2 linked regions of the Caenorhabditis elegans genome follow. The protein of the gene in region 2 interacts with the protein of the main gene of each other region in a pairwise test. Each region holds a gene or a part of one and is shown on either strand. Other genes may lie near its edges.

What was found. Proteins that work in one complex are often made in the same cells at the same time.
Region 1: the proteins of dyci-1 (region 2) and dyrb-1 interact in a two-hybrid assay, tested with the Caenorhabditis elegans proteins (3 studies listed by BioGRID).

What each region holds. Positions count from the first base shown.
Region 1 is NC_003280.10:9,105,510-9,109,480, reverse strand, and holds dyrb-1 (Dynein light chain roadblock), read left to right. Parts: upstream 1-2,335; coding exon 2,336-2,414; intron 2,415-2,648; coding exon 2,649-2,857; 3' UTR 2,858-2,966; downstream 2,967-3,971. Other genes in the region: dnj-23 (J domain-containing protein), read left to right, coding at 933-1,020, 1,072-1,526, 1,573-1,638, 1,742-1,861.
Region 2 is NC_003282.8:6,778,714-6,786,678, reverse strand, and holds dyci-1 (WD_REPEATS_REGION domain-containing protein), read left to right. Parts: upstream 1-2,338; 5' UTR 2,339-2,339; coding exon 2,340-2,510; intron 2,511-2,878; coding exon 2,879-3,073; intron 3,074-3,169; coding exon 3,170-3,296; intron 3,297-3,369; coding exon 3,370-3,566; intron 3,567-3,674; coding exon 3,675-3,896; intron 3,897-3,949; coding exon 3,950-4,165; intron 4,166-4,769; coding exon 4,770-4,946; intron 4,947-5,000; coding exon 5,001-5,136; intron 5,137-5,367; coding exon 5,368-5,591; intron 5,592-5,870; coding exon 5,871-5,979; intron 5,980-6,066; coding exon 6,067-6,169; intron 6,170-6,219; coding exon 6,220-6,274; 3' UTR 6,275-6,834; downstream 6,835-7,965. Other genes in the region: anat-1 (N-acetyltransferase domain-containing protein), read right to left, coding at 7,209-7,322, 7,789-7,885, 7,934-7,965.

The DNA of each region.
Region 1 (3,971 bases), on a different chromosome or scaffold from region 2:
GGGAGGGCTCGGAGAGCTCAGGAGAGAAATAGCTATGAGATGGAAGGAGGGCGCTAGGCGCCTAGAGATGGGAATGTATGTGGAATAATAGTCTTGCTAGGAAAAAGGACACGGCCTCGTTCTCGTTTTGCCTCGATTTTGCCTCTCTCTCTCTCTCGCAAACAGGCATCAAAGACTACATTGTAGTCTGCTCGTTCTGTAACTTTCATGCCTTTCGAGTTTGTGGAGTGACAATGAGCCTACTTCAAATAATGTTACGAAACTTTAATGTTTGGAATAAGGGGAAACAAACAGCAAATTTTTTTAGAACAAAATTCAGAAAAAAAAACAAATAAATTCGGTTTCAATCGGGCGAATTTGGTTACGGTGTTAATTAAAGGTGCATACGAGTTTCAGATGACAAGGTCTCACCACGAATCACAGTCTCATGGAGTTTTTTGAATTTGTTTTTTTTCTTATTTAATTTTCAACTCCTTTTTATCGATTTTTTCTATTCTTCAGCACGAAATTAAGAATAAATTGAAAAATATTGTAAAAGTAAAATAAAAAAATTTCGCAATAGTTAACCCCAATCTTAAAACTCCTGACTTAAAATTGAATTTAAAGTCATTTCCATGATCCATTTCTGTTAAATACATTTCTTCGTGTATTAGGCAACAAACAACGCTCCAAATAATTTATATTCATCCACTCCTGTTATCATTAATATAAATATTAGTAGGTAACGCGTTTCTGCAGAAATTTCATGTCTATTTTGCATTTTTTAAATTCAATTCTGACCGAAACTCGTGTTTGAACATGGCGCTTTTTTATTTGTTCGTTAGAGCAAATTTGCGATTCCAGTCATTTTATTTGAACGTTCTTCTCCCAGTGGTATTCACTCTTTCGCAACTGTTTTCTATTGATTTCTTCCATTTTTCAGCCAGCTGATTATGTTTCTGGAAGAATGCAAAACTCACTTCAATACGGATTGTCTCTACGAGCTTCTTGGCGTGAAGAAAGATTGCGATGAGAAAGCTCGTAAGTTTTTGGGAAACAAATGTTTAAAGTTAGCGAAAATTTATTTTTTAGTTAAAAAAGGATACTACCGCCAATCAATGCGCTGGCATCCGGATAAATCGAATCTTGTAGAAGAAGATATGCAGACGTACACAACGAAGTTTCAGCTTCTCAACAAAGCTTATCAAATTCTTTCCGATGAAGAGAAAAGGAAAATTTACGATGAAACCGGATCAGTGGACGATGAGGCTGGAGAGCTGAATGAAGATGCCTTGAAAGCATGGAGAATGATTTTCAAAAAGGTGACAAAAGAGGATATCGATAGCTTCATGAAGACGTATCAAGGATCTCGTGAACAGAAGGATGAGCTCGTTGTGCATTACGAGAAATTCAATGGAGATATCGCGAAAATCAGAGAATATGCTATCGGATTCGATGGCGTCGAAGAGTTGAAAGAAGCATTGGATAAACTTATTGATGATGGAGAAATTGAGAAGACGAAGAAATATGAAACGAGCACTTCAGATGTAAGTAATGCAGGTGAAATATGTTAAAATTTATGTTTTATTTCAGAAGAAGATGAAGGCTTACAAGCGTAAGGCTGAGAAGGAGGCAATCGAAGTTGAGAACATGACACAGGTATGTCATGGCAGTAAAATCTGTCACTTTATTTATAAGTTTTATCATTTACCGTTAGGTTACATTTTTAGTATATTCATATGCATAATTATTTAATTTCCAGAACAATTCGGATCTTGTCGCCCTGATTCAAGGTCGCCAGAAGGAACGTGGCACGTCGTTCCTCGATTCACTGGCTGCCAAGTATGCACCTTCTTCCTCCAAAAAGGCAAAGCGGCAGTAATTGAATCAGAATCCGCCCCTTCTTTCGTCACAACTTATCTTTCTTCCTTTCTCTATCTTCTTACTTTTCCGTATTTATGTATTCCCCTTCCATTGGTCACTGCTCCTTGTTCCATACACTCCGGAATTATTTTTTCTAACTTTTGAGATCTCTAATCGTTTCTTTTGAACTCAATTTTTTATAACTGAAAACTTGTGAAATTGCTATGTGGTATTTATAAAAAACATGCTCACTTCTTATTTTGTGTTATTTTGTTTTTATGCCAAAAGTTGTGCCCAACTTTTGAATATCTTCTTTTCGTTTTCTCGTCGCCAAGTTTTCAATATCCGACGAAAGGAAATTGAATTTATATCTCCTCAAGTGGAAAATGGAGAAAATTTTGGCAGTTCTCAGTCGACCAGCAAGTGAAAAATTGCATTTCTGTGCTTATTTTTCTTCCATCTTACAAACTTATCAATTTCCATTTGATTTCAGATGTCTGATTTCGAGGAGACTATTCGCCGTCTACAGTCAGAGAAAGGAGTCGTTGGAATTATTGTTGTCGATTCAGCCGGTACGTTTTCCTAGATAATTCTATCCTGAAAATTGTTTAGAAATGTAAAATCAAAATTAAAAAAAAAACAAAATTAATAGAAATTGTAAAAGTTTAGAAACTAGAAAGTAACATTTAGAAAAGTTAGTGTGGTCTCAGCCGAATGGGAATTACCACCAAACCTTGACAACTAATTTTCCATAAGCTTTGACCAATAAACAATAACTGTTTTCCATGAAACTAGATATTTTTCAGGCCGAGTTATTCATTCGACAATCGACAGCGACGCCACCCAGTCTCACACCGCATTCCTGCAGCAGTTATGTGAGAAGACAAAGACTTCCATTCGTGAACTCGATTCGAGCAATGATCTAACATTCCTGAGGCTTCGAACGAAGAAGAACGAAATCATGATTGCTCCAGACAAGGATCACGTCATTATGGTTATCAAGGACCTCTCGTAAAAACTGGGACCAACATTCAAAAATAATGAAAAAGCATTATATCTTTCTACCCTGCTTGTGCGATTTTAATTTATATCAGATATTTTTTCCAAATAAACGGCTTATATGCAGTTGTTTTTTCTTTTGAAAATGCTTAGAACAGTGTCCCTCCACGTAGTAAAAATACGTCCGTAGCAAAAGAGTAAAACGTAGTAAAACATCCACGTAGTAAAAGATAAGGTAGTAAAAAAGTATTTTCCGTAGTAAAAGATCTATGTGGTCAAATCGTAGTAAAAGATATCACGTAGTAAAAGAGCTAACTGTAGTAAAAGATCTAGATGCGGAATTCGTAGTAAAAGAGATTCCGTAGTAAAAGAGATGTTGTAGTAAAAGAGATACGTAGTAAAAGATCAAGTAGTAAAACAGTATTTGCCCAATTTTTGCCTCACCCTCCGTATTCGCCAAACTTGGTTCCTACTAACTACTATCTGTTCCGTTCTCTAAAATCACCTTGCCAGGCATAAGTTTCATGATCGAAAGGTCGTCGAAACGTGATTGGACGACTTTCTACTTTACCTCTCAGAAGTTCTGTGCGGAGGGTATTGCTTAGCTTCCGTTGCGTTGGCAAGAAGTCATAGGCACTAATGATGAATATATCACCCATTGAATCTTGTTCGCTTTGAATAAATACTCTCCAAAAAAAAAAAATTTTGCAACAAAAAAAAACAATTTTTTTCAATCTGTCGTTGGAAAATTGGTGGTATTAATAATCGTATAGTACTACCGTACGCCTGGAGTATTTCAAAACAATATTTTATTTTTGAAACAGTCAAAAATTATGCCGAACAAACTTGAAGAAACCAAATGATAATTAGCATGAAATGAAAATGCAAGACAAGAAAAACATGGAAAGAGCAAGCAATAAAATGTAGCCTAAACAGAAAAAATACAAATTTGTCACTACCATACAAGAACCATACAAGAATTAATAAAGTGAAAACTCAAATAAATAAACACAATCAAATTTAAAGAACTTAGTCGCCTTTGCGAGAATGCACGTCATCAGTCACGAGGATACATGTGGCTGGAATTCTGAAATAAAAATCAAAATAATTTTCATTATTAATTTCCATAG
Region 2 (7,965 bases):
TGCAATCAAAGGTTTCATCGAAAAAATTCGATTTTTTCAGTGGGAATCGAAAAACAAACATTTTCGATTTTCCGGACAACTGAAAAGCCAAAACAAATTTTGAAATTTCACCATAAAATTCAATTTTTATCAAGTAATAAAAATAAAAAAGCGAAAATTTTAAATCTTCCGATTTTTGAAAAATTCAAAAATCCGGCGCCTTTGGTTGCAATCGTGTTTTGAAAAAAGAAACCGTACACTTTTGGGGTTATTCAAGTAGTGTCGGAAAATTAAAAAGTGTAGAAAAATTACGTCACAACCTTATTCAAGTATATAAAAACATGTATTTAAATACATTTGTGACGTCACAAATGTATTTAAATACATTTTGCTACATTACTTGAATAACCCCACTTCCAATAAAAAAAAACTCCGGAAAGAAGAATTGCCACGTCATCTGTTTCTTTTTTCATCAATTAATGTTCCCTATCTTTTTTCCCTCTGTTTTCTCTCTTATTTCGGTCTCGGCGCCGCTCAAAAGCACTCGCAGAGTCGACCCAATGTAGAGAGCACACGATTCAGAGAGACTTAGACCATATGTGGCGCCAGGGCGCATTCCCTTCCTAGCACTGCGTCTCTTCAATTGGTTCAATCTCTCATAGTAATGTCCGAGAGAGAAAGAGAATTTCGCAATAGTTAGGGAACCCCCTATGGTTTTTTAAATAAGAATTTTTGAATATTTGTTAATTGCGCACTTTAATAACGACAGAGAGAACAATGCGATGTTTTTTGGCTAAACAAAATTCTAGAGAATCAAAAACGGATTCAGCCTAATTTTTTTTGGATCTAAAACGTAATCTGACATTATAAAATTTTTTATTCGAGCGATCCGTAAATTTTTCAAAAAAATCTTGGTTGCACAGGAAGACAGACGGGTGTAATTGCTATTTTCAAGCGTTTTTCAATGTTTTTTCGTTTTTCAATATTTCATGTTTTTGCAAACAATTTAGCATGAAATATTCTCACAATTTCACGAGAATAAAATTGAATAATATTCTCATTCAAAAAATAAAACTGGTTACGATTCCTAATTCTCAGTTTGAATCTAAAATGCAACGTAGGATCAATACAATTACTCAAGAGGAAATTCTAATTCGACGATAACAATTTTTTTAATTTGAAATTTCCATCAAATCTGCGCCCTACCGCTCCCTCTGTTCTCGTAGTTTCCCGCCGCTGTCCGTCCTACCAGCAAAGATCGACAGCTCCTTTTCTCTTTTCCTCTCTAACTCTCTAATGTTAGCGACCTTTGCGACGGATCGGCTTGTGTGGTGTCGGCACAGTTTGTCCCCTGTCGTTTCATTATCTGCGCTTCTCCACTCTAGTGTGCTCTCTCTCTCTCTCTAGTTGATCCCTCAAATTATTGTAAATACTCTTTTTACAGCTCTCTCTAACTACTCTAGGTGTTCCTAAGTTTCATTCAATCTATCATATTTCCTATCTTTTTGTGTCTCTGATATCTTCAGGTATGTGTATGAGTGGAGGGAATAGAATAGTAGAGAAAACAGTAAGTACATACACACATAACAGGAAGGAAGGAAAAACAATTTCAACATTTGTTTCTTTCAAATTCTTTGTTATCAGAGTTCCAGTTTCGCCTAAATCCCTGAATTCCCTTGAAACTGGAGTAGCTTCTTTGGTTTTTTTCCCAAAATGACAGAAAACAGTCTCAATACACCTATTATAAATCTAAAAAAGTTTATAGAATTGTTCTAAATTTTTAATGATTTTTTCAGGTTTGCAGAAATAAAAAAATAATAATGGCTTAATTATTTTTGAATTCTCGCACAAATGGTCATTTTGTTTTTTTTTTCGTTTTCCGGCTGTTTATATTATTTTGGCTTTCTTGGCAAACGATGTTTTATATCAAACATGAAGGAAATTTCCTCCTAGGAAAAACTAAAATGAAAAAATGTCGAAACTAGCTGATTCATTTGCTCGGGAACTCAAAAATAAATCCACTTTTTTGTTGCAAAATTAAATAAAAAATCTTGAAAAATTTAGAAAAATTCTATAATTTTTCCAGTTTTTTGGTATATTGAGGTCTTTTAAGCAAAGAAAATCCTCCAAATACGATACAACGCCTTTAATTAATTGAAGTCACACTCCATTATTCATCGCTAACATTAAAAAAAAACAAAAAAAAACAGATGATGATGTCCTTCGTAGATATCTCGAACTTCTCTCTATCTCTAATTCTACCATCTGCTTTTGAATTTCGAAACAACATTTCCTTCTCTGAATTGCCTTTTTTTCAAAACTACATTTTTTAGGTTTAGAAAAAACAATTTTATTTCAGAATGTCAGAACTGAGGAAACTCGAACTTGAACGTAAAAAGCAGAAATTGGCAGAGCTGAAATCTCAGCGGAAACGTGAAGAAGATGCTCGAGTTCAAAATCTGCTCCGTTCCACAAATGAAAATGGAACAACACAGAATGGAACGTCTCGACAGACTCTTTCATCGAATGAGGTATATTATTATGTTCTATTATCCCGACTCGAAATTTTTAGAGTTTTTGCCTAGAAATACTGTACCCGGTCTCGACACGACAATTTTTTATTATTTTTCATAGTTTTTCGTTTAAAATAATTAAGTTTTCCATTTAAAAAATTGCGAGAAAACCAATGAAAATTTCTGAAAATCGGCAGCAAAGAGAGTTTTAAACTACAGTAATTTTTAAAGGCGCATACCTTTTTGAAATTAACAAAATTTTGTCGTGTAGAGGCCTGACACTGTATTTTTTCAAACATTTCAGAATTTCGCGTCAAGAAATTGAAAATTAAACTGTTACAAGTTTCACAATCATATTTCTACTTTTTAACTAAATTATTTTTTAGGTCGAGGATATTCTCCGTCAAGTAGGTATTTCAACTGAGCCAACAGTTCGGGAAGAATCTCCGGCACCACCTCCTGGTTCTCATTCTGATAATCATGTGGATCCATCAGCCAGCCATCCACGCATTTCAAATCTCCTTTCAGTCGACTTGGAATTTTCCAGTGTACAGACAGCGTGCACGGATAACAAAGATTCGGTAAGCTTTATTTTTTTCGAGGGAAAATATCGAGAATTAATTTTAAAAACTCGAATTCCTGCTTTTTTTAATGATTTTAGTATTAAAATTTTCCAGGCAATTTACTCGAAAGGAACCCAGACTGACGATGAGCGAATTTCAGTCGGCGAATTTTCGTTAGGAAGCCAAGAATTCGATTATGATGATGATATGATTATGCCAATGGATCACGGTCAGTTCAGAGGTTTGTGCATGGTTTTTTTTTCCTGAATTTCAGTTTTACTCGAACACCATAATTTTAAAATTCATGGTTTCAGGTCGTGCTCACTCACACGATCAAGATTCCCCACTTCCTTACAACGAAGAAATTGCAAAACTTCTGGGACAGACAAAGCAGGGAGACAAGGGACTGACACGACAGGAGACTGAAGAGAAAAAGACACAAACTGTTCAGATTGTTCCACCACTTAGTGATGAAGAGAAATATCGTTTGACTCTTGATCCTGAGTTTTTGGTGAGTTAAAAAATATGAGGTTGGCATTTTTGTGAAAAAATATGTTTAACTGCCCAAAAGTTAATTCAATTTTTAATTCATGACTGAAGCTTATGGTTTTGTTTCCAGGACTCTTTCAATCGCTCTTGCAAAGTAATCAGTCGTGCTCTCAACGAGGAAATTGACATTTGTATTAACTACACTAAAGATCCATATGAGAAAGCTATTGCATCTGATGATCTACTTCATTTGGCACAAGTATATCAAGATGAGACATGGACTGCTAAACGATTAGTTACAGGAATGGCATTTTCTGAGCATTATCCTGATTTGTTAGCTGTTTCTTATGGGGTAATTAACATTTAAAACTATATACATGATTATTAATTTCCTTTCTTTTTCAGCCATGTGACATTCCAAATGAGCCACCCGGTGTTATTGTCGTTTGGAATACAAAGTCGAAGCGAATGACTGCTGAATTCATTGTCTATTGTCAATCTGAAATTCAATCCGTCGCTTTTGCTCGTTTCCATGCTCATTTGCTTCTCGCTGGATGTGAATCTGGACAGATTTGTGTATGGGATAATCGATTGACAAGTCGAAAGTTGCCAATAAATAGAGTGAGTTTTTTTTGTATTTTAAACTTTAAAAAACCTGAGAAAAAATCAAAGTTTCCTGTTGCAAAAAAGCGTTGCACAGAAAATGAGGCGGCGCGTAATTTCGCAAACCTGCTGCACGATTTTTTCTCTTTTTTCCCCCGTTTCAACTGCTCTTTTCAATAAAGTCTCGATTTTACTTTTTAGTTTAATTTTTAAATGAAAATATTATCATATACATAAATTCTCGTAAGTTATAAAAATATTTCATGTTTTAAAACCTATTTAGCATGAAATATCGTCAAAATCGTATGAGAATTAAATTGGACAACATTTTCATGCCAAAAAAACAAGTAAAATCGAAACTTAATTGAAAAATAAAAAAGGCAGTAGAAAACGAGCGAAGAATAAGGAGAAAAACCGTGCCGCATTGTTGCGAAATTACGCCCCGCCTCTATTTCTGTGCGACGCTGTTTTTTTTTCAAAATTTGCACATCAATCCTTCAATTACAACAGTAATGTTACTGTTACGTATCTTGAAAATTTTGAAGTTTTTTTTTTCAAAAAAGTTCTACGAAAATTGATTAAATTATTTTAATTTCTATCCGATGTTAACTCATTTTTCCAGAGTCCTCTAACAACTCAAGCTCACACGTATACTGTATCATGTCTTGCTGTCGTTGGTACCAAAAATGCTCATAACTTTGTTTCATTAAGTCGAGACGGACGAATTTGCAGTTGGAATGTCGATAATTTGACACAACCTGTGGATGGAAAAGAACTGATGACAAAGGAAGGAAAAGCTGTATGGTTTTTATCGATATTAAATAATTTTGAAACAAAAAATTCGAATTTCCAGGCTTCCGCCACCAGAATGTCATTCCCAATCGGTGAAATGCAAACATTTGTCGTTGGAACAGATACTGGAGAGATTCTTGCTGCATCAAGGAATGGAGCTGATCCAGCTGTCATTAAAACTGACGTTTGTTACAAAGGTTGGGATTTAGGTCTCGAAGCGACCGATTTTTCTTGAATTATTTTCAAAAAATTTAAAAGTACATCAAATTTTCAAGAAAAGAGGAAAAAAAATGAAGAAAAAAAATTCCACCAAAACTAGGAGTTAGCAACAAGGGCGTACTGTATTTTTTTTCCAAAAATCGAAAAAATTTTGAGCAGTCAAAAATGTGAATTTTATCTTGATAAAAATTTTAAATAAATAATTTCAGGTCACAGTGGTACTCTGACGGGAATTGAATTTCATAGAGCTTCTGGTGTTGTCGACTTCTCACATCTTTTTATTTCTTCATCTCACGATTGGACAGTGAAGCTATGGAGCACAAAAGATGCAAATTTAAAATTCTCATTTGAATCACATCCTGATCTCGTTTTGGATGTTGCATGGTCACCAGTTCATCCAGCTGTGTTTGCATCTATTGATGCTGATGGAAATGTGAGAGATTTATTTTTATTTTGACTGAATTTATAGAAATCGATCAGTAAATTTTGCAAAAAACAGCGCCGAGCAGAATTGGATAACCTTTACATTCTGAAAACGAGTAAAATCGAGACTTTATTGAAAAAATCAACAAAAAAGCAGTGGAATACGGACGAAAAAAAGGAAAAAAACTGTGCCGCAGGATTGCGAAAATACGCTCCGCCTCTGTTCTTTTTGCAAAATTCATTTGATCGATCGTTTAATTTCAACAATATTATATTTTAACGTTTTCAGATTTTCGTGTGGAATTTGAATGAGGATGTTGAAGGACCAGTTGCAAGACTTCGCGCCGGAGCCGAAGGAGAATCTGTTTATATGAATCGACTGATTTGGTCACCTGATGGTAAGAAGCAATTTTTTTTAATAATGCAAAATCCTACAATGAAACTGAATGTATTGGACTAAAAATTTTAAAATCCGTATTTTTCAGGAAAACACGTGTTCGTTGGTGATGATGAGGGTCGAGTACATATGTATGATGTTCGGGAAAGTTTGTACGTGTTGAAGAGCGAAGAATGGAATCGATTTGCTAGGTAAGCAGCTACCCGTTCCTCTTTCTACATGAAAAATGTGCAATTTTCAGAGTTTTATCTGATATGAAGCAATCGAATGAGGAAGCGGAGAATTATAACATGTAGACGAATGCGCGGTTCTTTCCAATCTTAACTTTAATCAGATTTTCTATTTATCATATTTAAATCATAGGTACTTGTTTTTTAAATCCCTTACAAAGCATATTTTCCCACGCTTTCTTATTGAAACGTGGCAACTGGTGCCAACTCTTCTTGTGTGTGTAATTGTGTGCTCTAAAAACGTTGCTCCTCTTTCTTCTCGGTTCATTTAATTATTTGTTGCTTATAAATATCCCCGCTAAATTTTTTTGTGATTATCTGCTATTTACTCAATTTTTTCTCGTTTTTCATTTTCTCTGAAAAACTTTTTTTCCTGACAGCTCTTCTTCCACGTCGTTTTCAGTTATTCCCGTTATTTTCCTGAGCTTTTTCTCTCCCCGATCACACTGATTCGACTTTTTTGCTCTAATTTATTAATTGATATTTATCAATTGTTTCTTTTTAAATGCTTCATACAGTCCCCCACCACAGCTCCCAATTGTTCTCTAAAAATGGTTTATTTGATTTCTTCTTTTCTTATCAAGTTTCGATGATAGCGATCAATGCGAATGAACAGTTTTATGAAAAAATCACCTTTTTTTTGTAATTTTGTTTCCATCAAAAAGCAGTAGTGAGAGCTCAATACAGTTTTGAATATTCATTTCTCAAAAGTGTTTCGCGGTAATCATACAAAATATATAATAATGTGAAATTGGGACAACGAGGGAATAGTTTTTAATTGAAAATGATCGCAGAAAGAAGAATCGATTGTTTTTTGTTTTGATTGACAAAAGAATGCAAATGCAGTGGGATTTTGATTGGGAGAGAAGGAGAGAAGAAAACATTCAGCGTATATTCAAAAAAAAACAGTGCCAGATTTCGATAGAAAATTGATTAAGAGAGAAGCTTGAAGGCGACGGATTCGTTGTGATACTCATAGATCATAGGTTGGAGCCGCAACTCAATTAAACTTCGAGAGCATCGCATATACACTATGGAATGTTTCTGGTGGACGCATCACGATTGGTGGACGAAGATGTTCTCCTTTGAAAGCATCGTAACGAACAGCAGCGAACTGAAAAATATAATAATAATGTGAAAACTATATGATTTATTATAAGGAGGCAGAAAAATGCCCACTTATAAATCGAAACGCGCTCCATAGCCAACTGAAAACGCTTCGCCTCCGAATAATGGGTCTCGTCAGGTATTTGTGGGCAAAACCGTAAATTCAAACAGTTTCAATTATTTCGCCAATTTCAAGCATGTTTTCCTTTGTTTTTGATGATTTTTACGTCGGAATGATTTTAAAGCATAGCCAAAAAAGAGAAAAAATGTTTGAAGTTGGCGAAACTAATTGAAAACGTTTGAATTTATCGTTTTGCCACCAAATGCCTAACGAGACCCATGGTTAGGGGGCGGACGATTTTCAATTGGATGTAGAACGCTTTTCCACATGATTTTGTAGAGTTTTTGTCTTCGTCCCAATAATATTTATCATTTTTATTGGAATTCTCTGGTGGATCTGTTCGAATTCTTACATCAGTTGGGCAATAAGTCTTCATCAATTTATGTCCTCGCTCATTACTGCACAAACTGATCAATCCATCGCTACTGTCTGTTCGAGCTGCAGACTTGCTGTAAAAAAATTTATATTCATATTCTTATGATTCTGTTTCTACTTACACATGATTCATCAATGTCGTACCAATTCCGCG